3 linked regions of the Bombyx mori genome follow. The protein of the gene in region 2 binds, or shares a complex with, the protein of the main gene of each other region. Links are inferred from orthologs where the notes say so. Each region holds a gene or a part of one and is shown on either strand. Other genes may lie near its edges.

What was found. Proteins that work in one complex are often made in the same cells at the same time.
Region 1: the proteins of integrator complex subunit 4 (region 2) and integrator complex subunit 11 are in contact, whole or in part, in a cryo-EM structure (PDB 7SN8), measured with the Drosophila melanogaster proteins. The link is inferred for Bombyx mori from reciprocal best matches to the Drosophila melanogaster genes IntS4 and IntS11. Residues at the interface, in NP_572488.1 of Drosophila melanogaster: Arg226, Ser227, Gly228, Gln233, Lys256, Phe259, Tyr260, Asp262, Ser263, Gln264, Lys299, Asp300, Asp301, Cys349, Leu351, Lys380, Lys381, Ile437, Glu441, Glu443, Phe444, Leu445, Glu446, Arg448, Asp471, Phe472, Asp475, Asn478, Glu480, Ile481; in NP_651721.1 of Drosophila melanogaster: Thr182, Pro183, Arg185, Gly188, Ala189, Trp191, Ile192, Asp193, Lys194, Arg196, Ile210, Arg211, Asp212, Ser213, Lys214, Arg215, Arg258, Asn287, Gln288, Lys289, Lys292, Thr293, Met299, Gln400, Asn404, Asn469, Ala470, Pro472, Pro473, Pro475.
Region 3: the proteins of integrator complex subunit 4 (region 2) and integrator complex subunit 9 are in contact, whole or in part, in a cryo-EM structure (PDB 7SN8), measured with the Drosophila melanogaster proteins. The link is inferred for Bombyx mori from reciprocal best matches to the Drosophila melanogaster genes IntS4 and IntS9. Residues at the interface, in NP_572488.1 of Drosophila melanogaster: Arg105, Leu108, Val112, Thr115, Asp116, Asp147, Thr148, Ser149, Lys153, Glu156, Gln193, Met196, Arg200, His231, Lys234, Gln264, Asp265, Ser266, Arg269, Tyr302; in NP_648838.3 of Drosophila melanogaster: Arg2, Arg23, Met88, Lys90, Met91, Asp93, Glu96, Asp98, Arg173, Lys176, Asp203, Leu205, Gly206, Gly500, Glu501, Ile502, Arg504, Val544, Lys545, Asp546.

The regions. Positions count from the first base shown.
Region 1 is NC_085124.1:3,287,827-3,291,984, forward strand, and holds integrator complex subunit 11, read right to left. Parts: upstream 2,689-4,158; 5' UTR 2,378-2,688; coding exon 572-2,377; 3' UTR 501-571; downstream 1-500. Other genes in the region: probable tubulin polyglutamylase ttll-15, read left to right, coding at 379-492; GDP-mannose 4,6 dehydratase, read left to right, coding at 3,523-3,591. UniProt on the Drosophila melanogaster protein: RNA endonuclease component of the integrator complex, a multiprotein complex that terminates RNA polymerase II (Pol II) transcription in the promoter-proximal region of genes.
Region 2 is NC_085121.1:12,652,344-12,655,843, reverse strand, and holds part of integrator complex subunit 4, read left to right. Parts: intron 1-1,147; coding exon 1,148-1,340; intron 1,341-2,109; coding exon 2,110-2,284; intron 2,285-2,601; coding exon 2,602-2,807; intron 2,808-3,500. UniProt on the Drosophila melanogaster protein: Component of the integrator complex, a multiprotein complex that terminates RNA polymerase II (Pol II) transcription in the promoter-proximal region of genes.
Region 3 is NC_085111.1:141,753-145,833, forward strand, and holds the start of integrator complex subunit 9, read right to left. Parts: upstream 2,801-4,081; 5' UTR 2,510-2,800; coding exon 2,501-2,509; intron 1,808-2,500; coding exon 1,616-1,807; intron 999-1,615; coding exon 796-998; intron 606-795; coding exon 1-605. UniProt on the Drosophila melanogaster protein: Component of the integrator complex, a multiprotein complex that terminates RNA polymerase II (Pol II) transcription in the promoter-proximal region of genes.

The DNA.
Region 1 (4,158 bases), on a different chromosome or scaffold from region 2:
TGTTATTCCTTCACCGTGGAAGTCATTCGTGAACATTTGTTGAGTACGTATTTCATTAGAAAAATTGGTACTTGCCTGGGATTCGAAAAACGGGTTATCGCTCAACACGAATGCACCGGACGTTTTATCCCTTAGGCCACGACGACTACATGTATAACGGACACCAATTTAAGATCGGTAGGTAGTGCAGAAGTAAGACACATTTTCTATGAGACTCATACTGTGGCACCATGGAAAAAGAATCCTAAACCATAAATCACCTTCCATTATTTTTAACCATAAAAAAGATGTTGCTTTGCATTTATAGAAACTTTCTTTTGTCCACACTAGGTGAAACTCAATATTGTATTTTATTGACATTTTATTTTTATATTCCAGAAAGCCAATGCTACTTTAAAAGAAGAGGACTTGAAGCACTTGAACAAACCAAACAGACTTCAGTACTTATGGTACCAGGGAAAATGCAATGTGGATATCACTTGGTGTACATAAAACAAATATTATTAACTAAAACTAATTTATTCAAAATTACAAAATAATTCATAATAAAAATCCTAAAACATGACATTTCTTATTCTTTCATTGGACTATATTGAACCATTGATTGCAGGAGCCCTAATATATAGCTACCTAAGTCTTCGTCTTGGTTTGTCCAAGAAACATAAATGTTTTTTGTGCTATCATCTTCACCTTCTACCTTGATGAGTACTGACTCAACTGATATGTTTCCTTCCGATATAGTTATAGTCCAGCCTTCTAATTTTTCCGTCAGTAAATTCTGCAATTTTTCAGCAGTCTTGATAGCTGGCCCCGGATCCTCAAAACGAACTGTACTTGTGAATCTAATGATATGCCTGTTTATTCCGATTTCATCACACATCTCATCAATGTCTAGTAATGATAGCCTGTTATCTTTCACACACAGAATCCCATTAACAACTCGCCTGCGTTTTGGATCAGGTGGTTGGGCATTGTATCTCACTGCTTCAGCTTTCAGCAACCTCAACGAGACATCAATAGGAATGGTTGTTGGAGTATTTATAACACATGTTTCACCATTAGCTGGCATAAAACAACTAATTTTGAATTCCTTCTCTATTTTATCTTTCAAAAACTCCATTTTTTGAGCTTCACCATGTACCAACAATACATTTTTGGGTTCACAATATTGTATCAATTGCATAATTCCTTTTGCATCAGCATGAGCTGAAAATGACATGTATTCTACTGCCATTTTAACTTCAACCACTTGTCTGTTTTCAAATTCAACCTTCTTTGCTCCATTGAGGATCTTGTGTCCGACTGTGCCTTGCACACAGAATCCTGGCATAATCACCATGTTCTGCTCATAAGGAGCCCATTTCTTAAAGATGTTTAGTGACAATCCAGCATGCAACATTCCAGGCGTAGCAAAAACTACCATAGCACCGGGATTATCAATGTATGTCTTGTCAAATGGTTTAATATGCTTAAAGTCAAACATATTTCTTTGAACAAATGTCTTTCTTATTTTTTGATTGGTCCATGTTATAAACATTTTATAGTAATTGTTTGCTTTTTCTGTCAGTCCAAGAGCAAAGTAAACTGGATATTTAAGATTCATACGATCCCAATATGTTTCCAATAAAATACAAAGTTCCTGTGCCCTTCCTAATGCAAACACCGGAATCAGAACCTTACCTCCTTTTTCTACACATTCATGAACTTTTTTGAGAAAATCTCTTTCACGACAGCGTTTTGAATCTCTTATGGTTGTTGCATATGTGGATTCTGTTATGAGCAGATCAGGTCTACATTTGTCAATCCAGGCGGCTCCTAAGTGCCTATCAGGTGTCATGTTGTAATCACCTGTGTAAACCACAGATTGTGACCCTACTCTGATCCAGAACATTGCAGCTCCTAAGACATGTCCTGCGTAATAAGCTTTGATTTCTAATTCATTATCCACCATTACTGATTGATGGAGAGTCACAGCTGTCACTTTTTTCATACAATCTTTAATCATTTGGGAAGTGAAGAAGTTTGACTCACCTTTGCGCTCCACTGCGACTTTCCTCATATCCTCGAGAAGGATTGGTGCTATGGCTTTAGTCGGGTGTGTCATGTAAATAGGGCCGGTATAACCAATCATTTCGGACATATAGGGCAGTGCACCGCAGTGATCTAGGTGAAAATGTGATATAATAACGCAGTCAATCTGACTCGTTATAGGGCCTTCCGGGACAATGTAAGAGAAATCAGGAAATCTTCTTTCATCGTTGTAGCCCATATGCATACCACAATCTAACATTATGTTTTTGCCACCCATGGTTAGCAAGATGCAGCTCCGACCAACATCCTGGCCCGCTCCGAGTGGCGTAATCTTAATATCCGGCATTATAAGTTTTACCACATCCAAGGAAGCTTATGAAAATATACGTTTCAAGATTATGAATATTAACGACACGAAATGATTCGCCAGTAGGTACCGTGGTGTATTAATAATCAGTACGATGTTTCATAAAAATAATTTATTACATACTGTTAAAACTCATTTAACCCTAAAACATGTTATTTATAAATAACAAACAATATTTTTTAAGTAATTTGCTGTTAATTATCATCACAATTCCGCAACATGGGTTGTATTATCTATAGTCACTAATGTCAAAGCGGTATGTGTATATCATTATTATTTTTTTAAGGTATTTTATGACCTGGTAACTAAGACTTTTAGGTCATGTCTTATTTTAATTTATATTCTTATTTTTATGAAAAATGATAAATGGAGTGAAATGAAATGAAGGTGATTAATTTGGGGCATTAATCAACTGGGATGAAATTAAATGAAAGGAGATGAAATGATATGGGATGAAATATAATCTCAGTAAAATGGCGGTCATTTACTGAGATTTTTCAGTAGACTTTTTGGAGGATCCAGAGAAGTTACGTCCAGCGGCTTGGCTTCATTTTCCCACATTTGTGCACTTTCACAGATATTAGGCAGTTAATAAACCAACGTTATTGTACATTTCAACCTGAAGAAACATTAAATAGACAAAATAAAACAAATCACTCAACTTCACTCCTCACGTTCCCACCAAAAAGTCGAAGTCAACAAGACATTACTTAAAGGTCTTAGTTATCAGGTCACAAATCCCTTAAAAAAATTGTGATAGTCTTTGTATGTATTGTTCTCAAATATATTAAGTGTATAATCTATGTGTATTATGTTGTGTTTTGGTTTAGGCTGTGCCATGGCTGTGCAAACAAAAGTGGGAATCGTATTACCAATTGAGCTTAAGTACTGATTTATAATATTTAACTTTATTGCAACACTAAAAATCGTTGTCTTAATTAATATCGTTTATTTATTCGACACCATTGAATTTCCTTAGGTTATGATTACTGTGTATAGCTTGTAAGTACTGTTGTGATAAGAGCCAAGAGAAACGCCTTATCAGCCAGAGCCGGTACCGAAGTGAGGACGTGTAAACTACATTTTCTATAACAATTTAAAATTTGATTGCCTAAAATTTGAATATGTCCGGAGATAGTTCTAATGTAATCGATCCGAAAAAAATTGCCTTAATAACTGGAATAACTGGCCAGGTATGTACTATCCTAAATGTTTAAAATGATTTTTTTACACGTACTTAATTTATTTAAATAATCATTCTGTTGAATTACCATAGCGGTACGTGTATCGTACCAAAAATTATTGTAAAAATAACAATGATTAAGAAATTAAAGTCGAAATCAAATTATATATATTTTTATTTTAACTCTTGGGTGTGCGGAGGGACTTCGCCGCTGAGGAATTTTTTGAGATGATACCATCATCTCGATTTTACCCTCACACCTACTACCTGGAGCCACTGAGTTCATCCACAGAGCATTTCCATCTTTTTTACCACGTACCATTCTGTTTTGGAATGAGCTCTCCTCATTTCCTGAACACTATGATATGTCCTTCTTCAAACGAGGTTTTTGGAGAGTACTTAGCGCTAGGCAGCGGAATGGCTCTGCCCCTGGCATTGCTGAAATCTATGGGCGACGGTAACCACTCACCATCAGGTGGGCGGTATGGCCAGAAAGAATAAAGAAAAAAAAACTTATTTTTTTTGTATCAAACTTCAGTGTTTGTGTCCAAACTTTACCTTGACAGTTTAATAATTA
Region 2 (3,500 bases):
ATTCCACAAATATTGAAGTCTCAAAGTATTTCCTTCGTATGCCCCACGTGCGTACAATATTACAAGAAATGCCTTCAATTTTTCTTGCGTGATTATCCAGGTTTTCCCCAAAACTCGAGAGGCTTCTAGCTCTGTACAAATTTTCGTTTTGACATTTTTAGGGGCTAAGGATATGCAGGCTACTTGCTGAACAACATATATTTGAATATTTTTCAAATACTCATAAATGTTTATTACGTGTCACTGTATGGGTAAAGATGAATGATTACGTTTGGAGATCGCTTGGACTAAGTACTCGTAAAAAAATCGTATAGATACCGTAATCGCCTAAATCGGCTCGATAACGATAACGTAATGAACAAAAGAAGCATGGGCACTATTTGTATTTTCACGGTCTCATGATTCTCCCGAAATCATACATTTCTTCCTAGAAACATGCACCAGTCATTTTGACTGGTTCTGGTATAAATAGTTATAACAAAAAATATATTTGTTACTAACATTATATAAAGTAAAATTAAGTTCATAAAATGTATTCTCTACTTATACCTACAAAAGTTATAACATCAATTTGGAAAGCAAATATTTAATGTAGTAGTCATTTTGAATTGAAGTTGCACGACCAGTCAAAATGACTGGTCTGGTAAATCTAGTGTTAATTAAGCAATTGTAATAAAGTTAATATGTCGGCAACTTTTTTTTATTAAAAGTAAATAAGAATAAAAAATTTCAGTAAATAAATAAGTATATATAAAATATTTTAAAAGTCTGCCAGACTGTCGCTCCCTTCGAGAGCCACCAGGAGAGTTTATTTTTATAGTCAAAAAGTATGTAAAACAACACTCGTTTTTTTTTTTAAATAATGTTATTGACTTTCTTTGCAATAAAAGTCTTACATTGTTTACATGATTCATGATCACCATAACTTTTAAGTTCTATTTCAAACGTTTTTTAATGTTATTATTAATTGATTATAATTAAGTGAAATAATCTTAATCGTATATAGATTCGTATGTAAGTGATAATTGTTTAATCACAATTACAAACCCAACAATAAACAAAACAACAACAACAAAATATATAATGTGTGCCTCTCCAATACATCTCAGAACAATGAATTTGAGGATTTTTTTTTTGTTATTTTCAGTGTAATAACGTTACAAGATGACGAGACCACGATACGAATGGTCGATGACGCTTTTGTTCGCATATGTTCGGCCGTGAACGATCTATGCATGCAAGTGCGAGCGCTCGCCTGCACGCTGCTCGGCACCACGCGCGCCGTTTCCGATCGCTTCCTGTTGCAGACCCTCGATAAACAACTAATGAGTAACATGAAGGTGATTACGGAACCAACACTAAATATACCATTGAAATACACATTTAAATATGTTCAGACATTATATGGATTAGAAACGCACACAAAAACGCTTATAATATTCATGTAAAGAAAAACCTTTAAAGCTCTTTTAGTTTTTTAGATTTTTCTGAGCACGGAAGCACTCACCTGTCATTCCATGAAGTGACTTGTTCAGTTTTGCATCTATATCTATAAATCTATAGTGGCTTTTACGGATGTTCCGTTATAATTACTGAACCATATATTCGATTGACTTGAAACTTGGTATCCATGTAGAAAATACATGTACTTAATGGATAGGCTAATATTTATATGAGCGTTGGACTCCCTACACCAGTTGTGGGGGCGTTAATGATAAGAATCTTTTTGGAGGGTGAGAAATAATAATATTAATTTTAAATGCCTAGCGAAGCGGACGGGTACAGCTAGTAGTATAATAATACTGCTTAAAATATTAATTTAAATACAGATTAAGGGCTTTAAATGTTGTTTTCTTATTTATATTACAGAAAACGCAATTAAGTCTTTGATTGTACTCATTCATTCTGGCGTATTTGATATCATTATATTCATAATATCATTATATCGCGTGTCAATTCGACCACGTCTTAATGTGATTTATTTGTTAAAACACCAGGCATATGCGTGGCGTTTGTACCGTGATCATGGAAGCAGCCTTCCTTGGTCTCATTAGCTTTATCTCATATCTAATTCACATTTAATTATAGTGTAAATTGAATATAATACAGAAAAAGCGCACAGCACACGAGCGCGGCGCGGAGCTGGTCCGCAGCGGCGCGTGGGCGAGCGGGCGGCGCTGGGCGGACGACGCGCCCGGCGCGCTGGTGCCGTCCGCCGCCGTGCAGCTGCTGCCGGGCGGGGCGGCCGGCGCCTTTGTGCACGGACTCGAGGACGAACTCATGGGTCAGAGCATAGATAATACACATAATTTAGTTATAGATAAGCAACTCAAGCACTCAACAAAAATGTTTATGGGCGTCGGCCACTAGATGGCTACGCTTCGATTAGTTTTTCATTGCTCCTGTAGATGACAATAACATATTAAGCATCGCAGGCTTTATTTAAAAAAAAGTATATTTTCAGAAACCCCAAAGTGATAAAATTTAATCAATTTTTCTATAACAAATAAAGGCTTGTAAGATTTACAATATTTTTTATAATCGAATTTAATTATTGTTTTCAACGTAATAATTTGTTCTAATTGTTCTTTATGTTCCCAGAGGTGCGCACGGCAGCCGTCGAAGCATTGTGTCAACTCTCACTAGAAAACCCGGTGTTCGCGACCACCTCCCTCGACTTTTTGGTGGACATGTTCAATGACGAGATCGAGGAAGTGCGGCTGCGAGCCATCGACGCCCTCACGAGGATCTCGCATCATATCGTACTTAGAGAAGACCTACTGGAGACCATACTAGGAGCCTTGGAGGTCAGTCCCGGAGATACTAGAAGCTGATAATAGTCTATTTGTAATACAGTTGTAGGAGCAGCCGTAGTTAAGCTGCTTCAACTGGCTAGATTGTCTAGGCATTGACTCGGAAGATAGGTAGCACAGAGAAAATGAATATTGTTATGCCTTTTAGGTTACGTATATTGTATATAAGATTGGATTTATGTACAATATAGGTAAATTAGCACATAAGTAACTCTAAATAAACGCAAGTAAAGAAGCATCTCCGAACCTGTTCCGAACAAAAATAGCGTATGATTGGCCTAAAATCATAAGCGACAGCGATTTTACCAAAATTGAAAGGCGGTTGCCCAAGTAGTGGTATGAAGTGGCGGGTAAGTGAGTCGCCACACAGTCCTTGTGATGCTATGAAGCCCGCAAGTCACCCTCCTGCTTGGTTTGTTCAGGAAGAACTCATGCGCTCCGTTTTCATGGATGGTGGAGCAGTGATTAATACAACTGCGACTCTACGACATCTATTACCACTTTTCCCTGATGGCAGAGAGAGAGAGAGAGAGAGAGAGAAGGCGAGAGAAAGAGAGAGAGAAGGCGAGAGAAAGAGAGAGAATGAAAGTTATTTTCTAATTTTTTTCCTAAGTAACTAAACAGAAATCTGCCACCATCAAACTTCACCTCTTTCTACGAAAAAGGGCAATTTAGTTTTTACTGGAA
Region 3 (4,081 bases), on a different chromosome or scaffold from region 2:
GCGACGCCTCGGCCGCCGGCGACACCACGTACAGCGGCACGTGCGCCAGCCCCGCCGTGTCCAGGTGCGCCGACAGGCACTCCAGCAGGTCGTACAGCACGCCGCTGGGGTACACGGGGCACAGCACGGAGCCGCCGGCGCGCAGCGTGACGGTGGCGTGCACGCACAGGTCGCCCAGCATGTGGTCCGGGTTGTGCGCCGGCGTCTGCGTGAGCGCGGCCAGCACCAGCAGGTCGGCGCCCCGCAGAGCCGCCTGGTTGATGGGGCGCGGGTGCGTGGTGAGCGTGCTGGAGCCGCTCACGTAGGCGACCTTCTCGTGGGCGGAGCGCAGCACCCAGTTGGCGGAGCCCAGACAGAAGCCGGAGCTGACGGCGGTGGCGTCGAGCGCGCCGTACAGGTCGACCTTCTCGTCGTAGCCGACCACGCGGACGCGCGCGAGGGCGCGGGCGACGTGGTGCGGGGCGAGCAGGCGGCGCCACGCGCGGGGCCGCACCACGTCGGCGAGGGGGGCGGGCAGCACGTGCACCGCCTCCTTCCAACGCTTGGCCGAGCCCGACCCCGACCCGCTTGAGCACACCCACTCCGACAGCTCCTCCAGGTAGAACCTCCAAATATATTATCTTTATTACATCTTTCTGCTGCTTCAATCCATTCTGATACTGTACTTTCAATAAGCATATTCTGTTTACAATAATATGGTGTTGTTATATACTCTATAACCATATATACAATACAGAAATGTATATTTTTTATCATTATACTTTTGAAGGCATAAAAAGAATAGAGAATGAATACCTTCCTATTTGTAGAGTAGGTTCAGTGGCATACACTTGGCCCTTGAAACCTGTATCTTCTGTTATAAAAGGCAGGGCCAGCATGCAAGTGTAATTTGAGATTAAAATTACATCTAGCTGAGAAAAATCGACTACTTTATCGAGAGGCGGACAAAACTCAGGCATGCTATCAACAAACACTCTGCCGCAACACTCCTTTAGTTCCTGTAATGAGATGGGTTAGTTTAAATATCACCTGATATTGATTCTGTTTTTATTATAAAGAAATATCATTAAATTTAACATGTTATTACTTATTTGACATAGGGTTTTTAATCATAGCATTGGAGTCAGATTTAAAATATGAGTCCCTTTGATTTTTTATATCAGAAATCTGTTGAATGCAGTTTGGAAGGTACGTGTAATGTAACTGAGAGATACAGTTGGATAAGTTTAAAAATTATTTTAATGAGGAGTTTTGAGTTTTTTATTAATTTAATGTTTGTATATAAAATAATTAATTGATGAAATGTGTTTTTTTGCTTAAAGACTGTACCTAATGGATTCACCAGAGAATAAGCATTCTGTGAGTATTAAAGCAGCATACTGACTATACCATATTTAGTGGTGGATTCAGTATCCTGTCTGTTTTTGCTGTGATTGCCTCTTGTTTGAAGAATGGAACAACCATCATACAATACAACTGAGAATTCAACTTCATGTTTCAAGGTGGGTGGTGGTAATAATGTTGTCATGACCAGAGACTCCAGTAACCACTTTATACCTAGGTACTGATATATAAATAATGATAATAAGAAATGTAATAAGCTTAATTTTTATACCCCTTCCAAGAGTGGATCATTGTGATGTGGTGGTGTGTAATTAGGCAGGGATGCGAGTCGAGTGCTAGGCACTGGAGGCAGCGGTAGGAAGTTGAGCACAGAGTGGGATGACAGCCCACAATCCAACATTATGAGGAGCTCTTTGAAAGACAACACAAAGCAAGGCTTCGCTGCATCATTGCTTAAACAATACTGTAATCAAATCAAACATTGTTTAAGGTAAGCACTGGTTATATTATTTATAAGTCAGGGGTCCATATGGTAATGCTCAATTAAACAGATATGCCAGAATAGTGGAGCCATCCTGGTATTTTAAAGCCACACCTATTTTTCTGTCCCTATAGTACCTGTATAACAGCTGTGATCTTAGAGTACACATAGAATGATTTATGACAATTTCAAACCATTCTACTTATTTCTGTTCAGACACAATCATGCATTCCGATTTAACTGGTTAGTCATTGGATCCAAGCAATCAATACTTCAATAGAAGAGAGGGACAAATTCTTAGAGGTATCATTCATCTTGTGGTGCCTTTAGTCTCTAGTATTAGGTTCATATCCCAAAAAGCTATGAAATAATCACTTAAACAAAATTGTATGTAAAAATTGTGGGGATGTGGGAGACTGCCTCTCTACCCAGGATATCATTACAGTAAAAACGTATGGGCTGTTCTTGTAAAATAATTTACTATATTAATAAACTACTTGCAAATGGAGCACTCCACTGCAATTTGGTTTGTTTTCGCGTCCTGCAGGTTTAATTCTAACACAATCTTCTAATAGTATGAATTCTAATATTATTTTTGTATTTTGTGTTTCAAGTTCAACTCTTACATATTTTTCAAGTGTTTTGAATAAATTAGTGAAGATATTGCATACTTACAAGCTTCATTATTAGTTTATATATTATATTTCGAATTTGCGGACGAATATTGTTTATTACTAAAGTATGTTTATGTATTAGTAACTGCTTTATCAATTTGTCCGGCTTCAATATTATTTTTGCTTAGGTTTGATGAACCGTTTATTCAGTGTATTGCATAGATAATACATAACTGTACAACATCATTAATTGAAATAAATGAATATTAGGTACATAAGTACTTTCAAAATAGCTAAACAAAATATATTTATATTATGTAGGTAGGTAGGTTCTAGTTACCTACCTACAGATATTATCTGTCAGATAAGCATTTGATTGTTTTAATCGACAGGCAAAGGGAGCATATTCAATACATACAACTAAATATTTGTAACAAACGAGTTATATCTGTTGTGTAAAAGTAAAATGAAACAAACGATATTAAATGTAATTCATTAATTAACAAAATTTGTACTACGGTTCCATATTCGTTGAATTTGTTATTCGGAAACAATGAAACTCGTTGCATTTGCATTCCTCGGGAAAAAGAGTTAGCCGTATCACTCTCTAGTCCATTTTTTTTCCTACCTATGCTGATAGCCGTGAGAGGCTATTTCAGCTTCGCCCTAACGTGTAGGTGAACTCACGGTGCTCAAACCGGAAGTATTGCTAACACTGGCCCTAGCAAGAGCAGAGAAACTCAGTGTGCTATGTCTATGGGTTAATTTACTCGTCGAGCCCTTCGTCACAAGCGACGGGTTCGGCGAGGACGGTGACCGGTGCTTGAGGTGTGTACTTAAAAGTACCGATAATGAATCGGGAGGATCCGTAATGACGTGTTTAGAGCGACGTCGACTTGTTACCGTTCGGTCCACAGGATCGGGTATGTCTATTTATTAAGCTATTTGTAAAACCTTTGGTAAGTAATATATTATGAACCATGAAATACATTGTTATTATTATACTGTACTGTATAGCAGATATACCTAGTGTTATTCCAGTCAAGTTTAGTGTGATAAAAATTAGATTATCTACTTGTCAATTCAGATTATAAATTATGTTGGTGGGAAGTCATATCCAAGTCCGTTATGCTATTATTGTACACAACATTTGTTACGTTGTTGTAGGTAATTATATATTTTATATGTATACAGTGTAAGTGTAAGAATAGTCGTCGTGGCCTAAGCGATAAGACGTCCGGTGCATTCGTGTTGAGCGATGCACCAGTGTTCGAATCTCAGGCGGGTACCAATTTTTCTAATGAAATACGTACTCAACAAATGTTTACGATTGACTTCCACGGTGAAGGAATAACATCGTGTAATAAAAATCAAACCCGCAAAATTATAATTTGCATAATTACTGGTGGTAGGACCTCTTGTGTGTCCGCGCGGGCGGTGCCACCGCCCTGCCTATTTCAGTCGTGAAGCAGTAATGCGTTTCGGTTTGAAGGGTGGGGCAGCCGTTGTAACTATACTGAGACCCTTAGAACTTATATCTCAAGGTTGGTGGCGCATTTACGTTGTAGATGTCTATGGGCTCCAGTAACCACTTAACACCAGGTGGGCTGTGAGCTCGTCCACCCATCCAAGCAATAAAAAA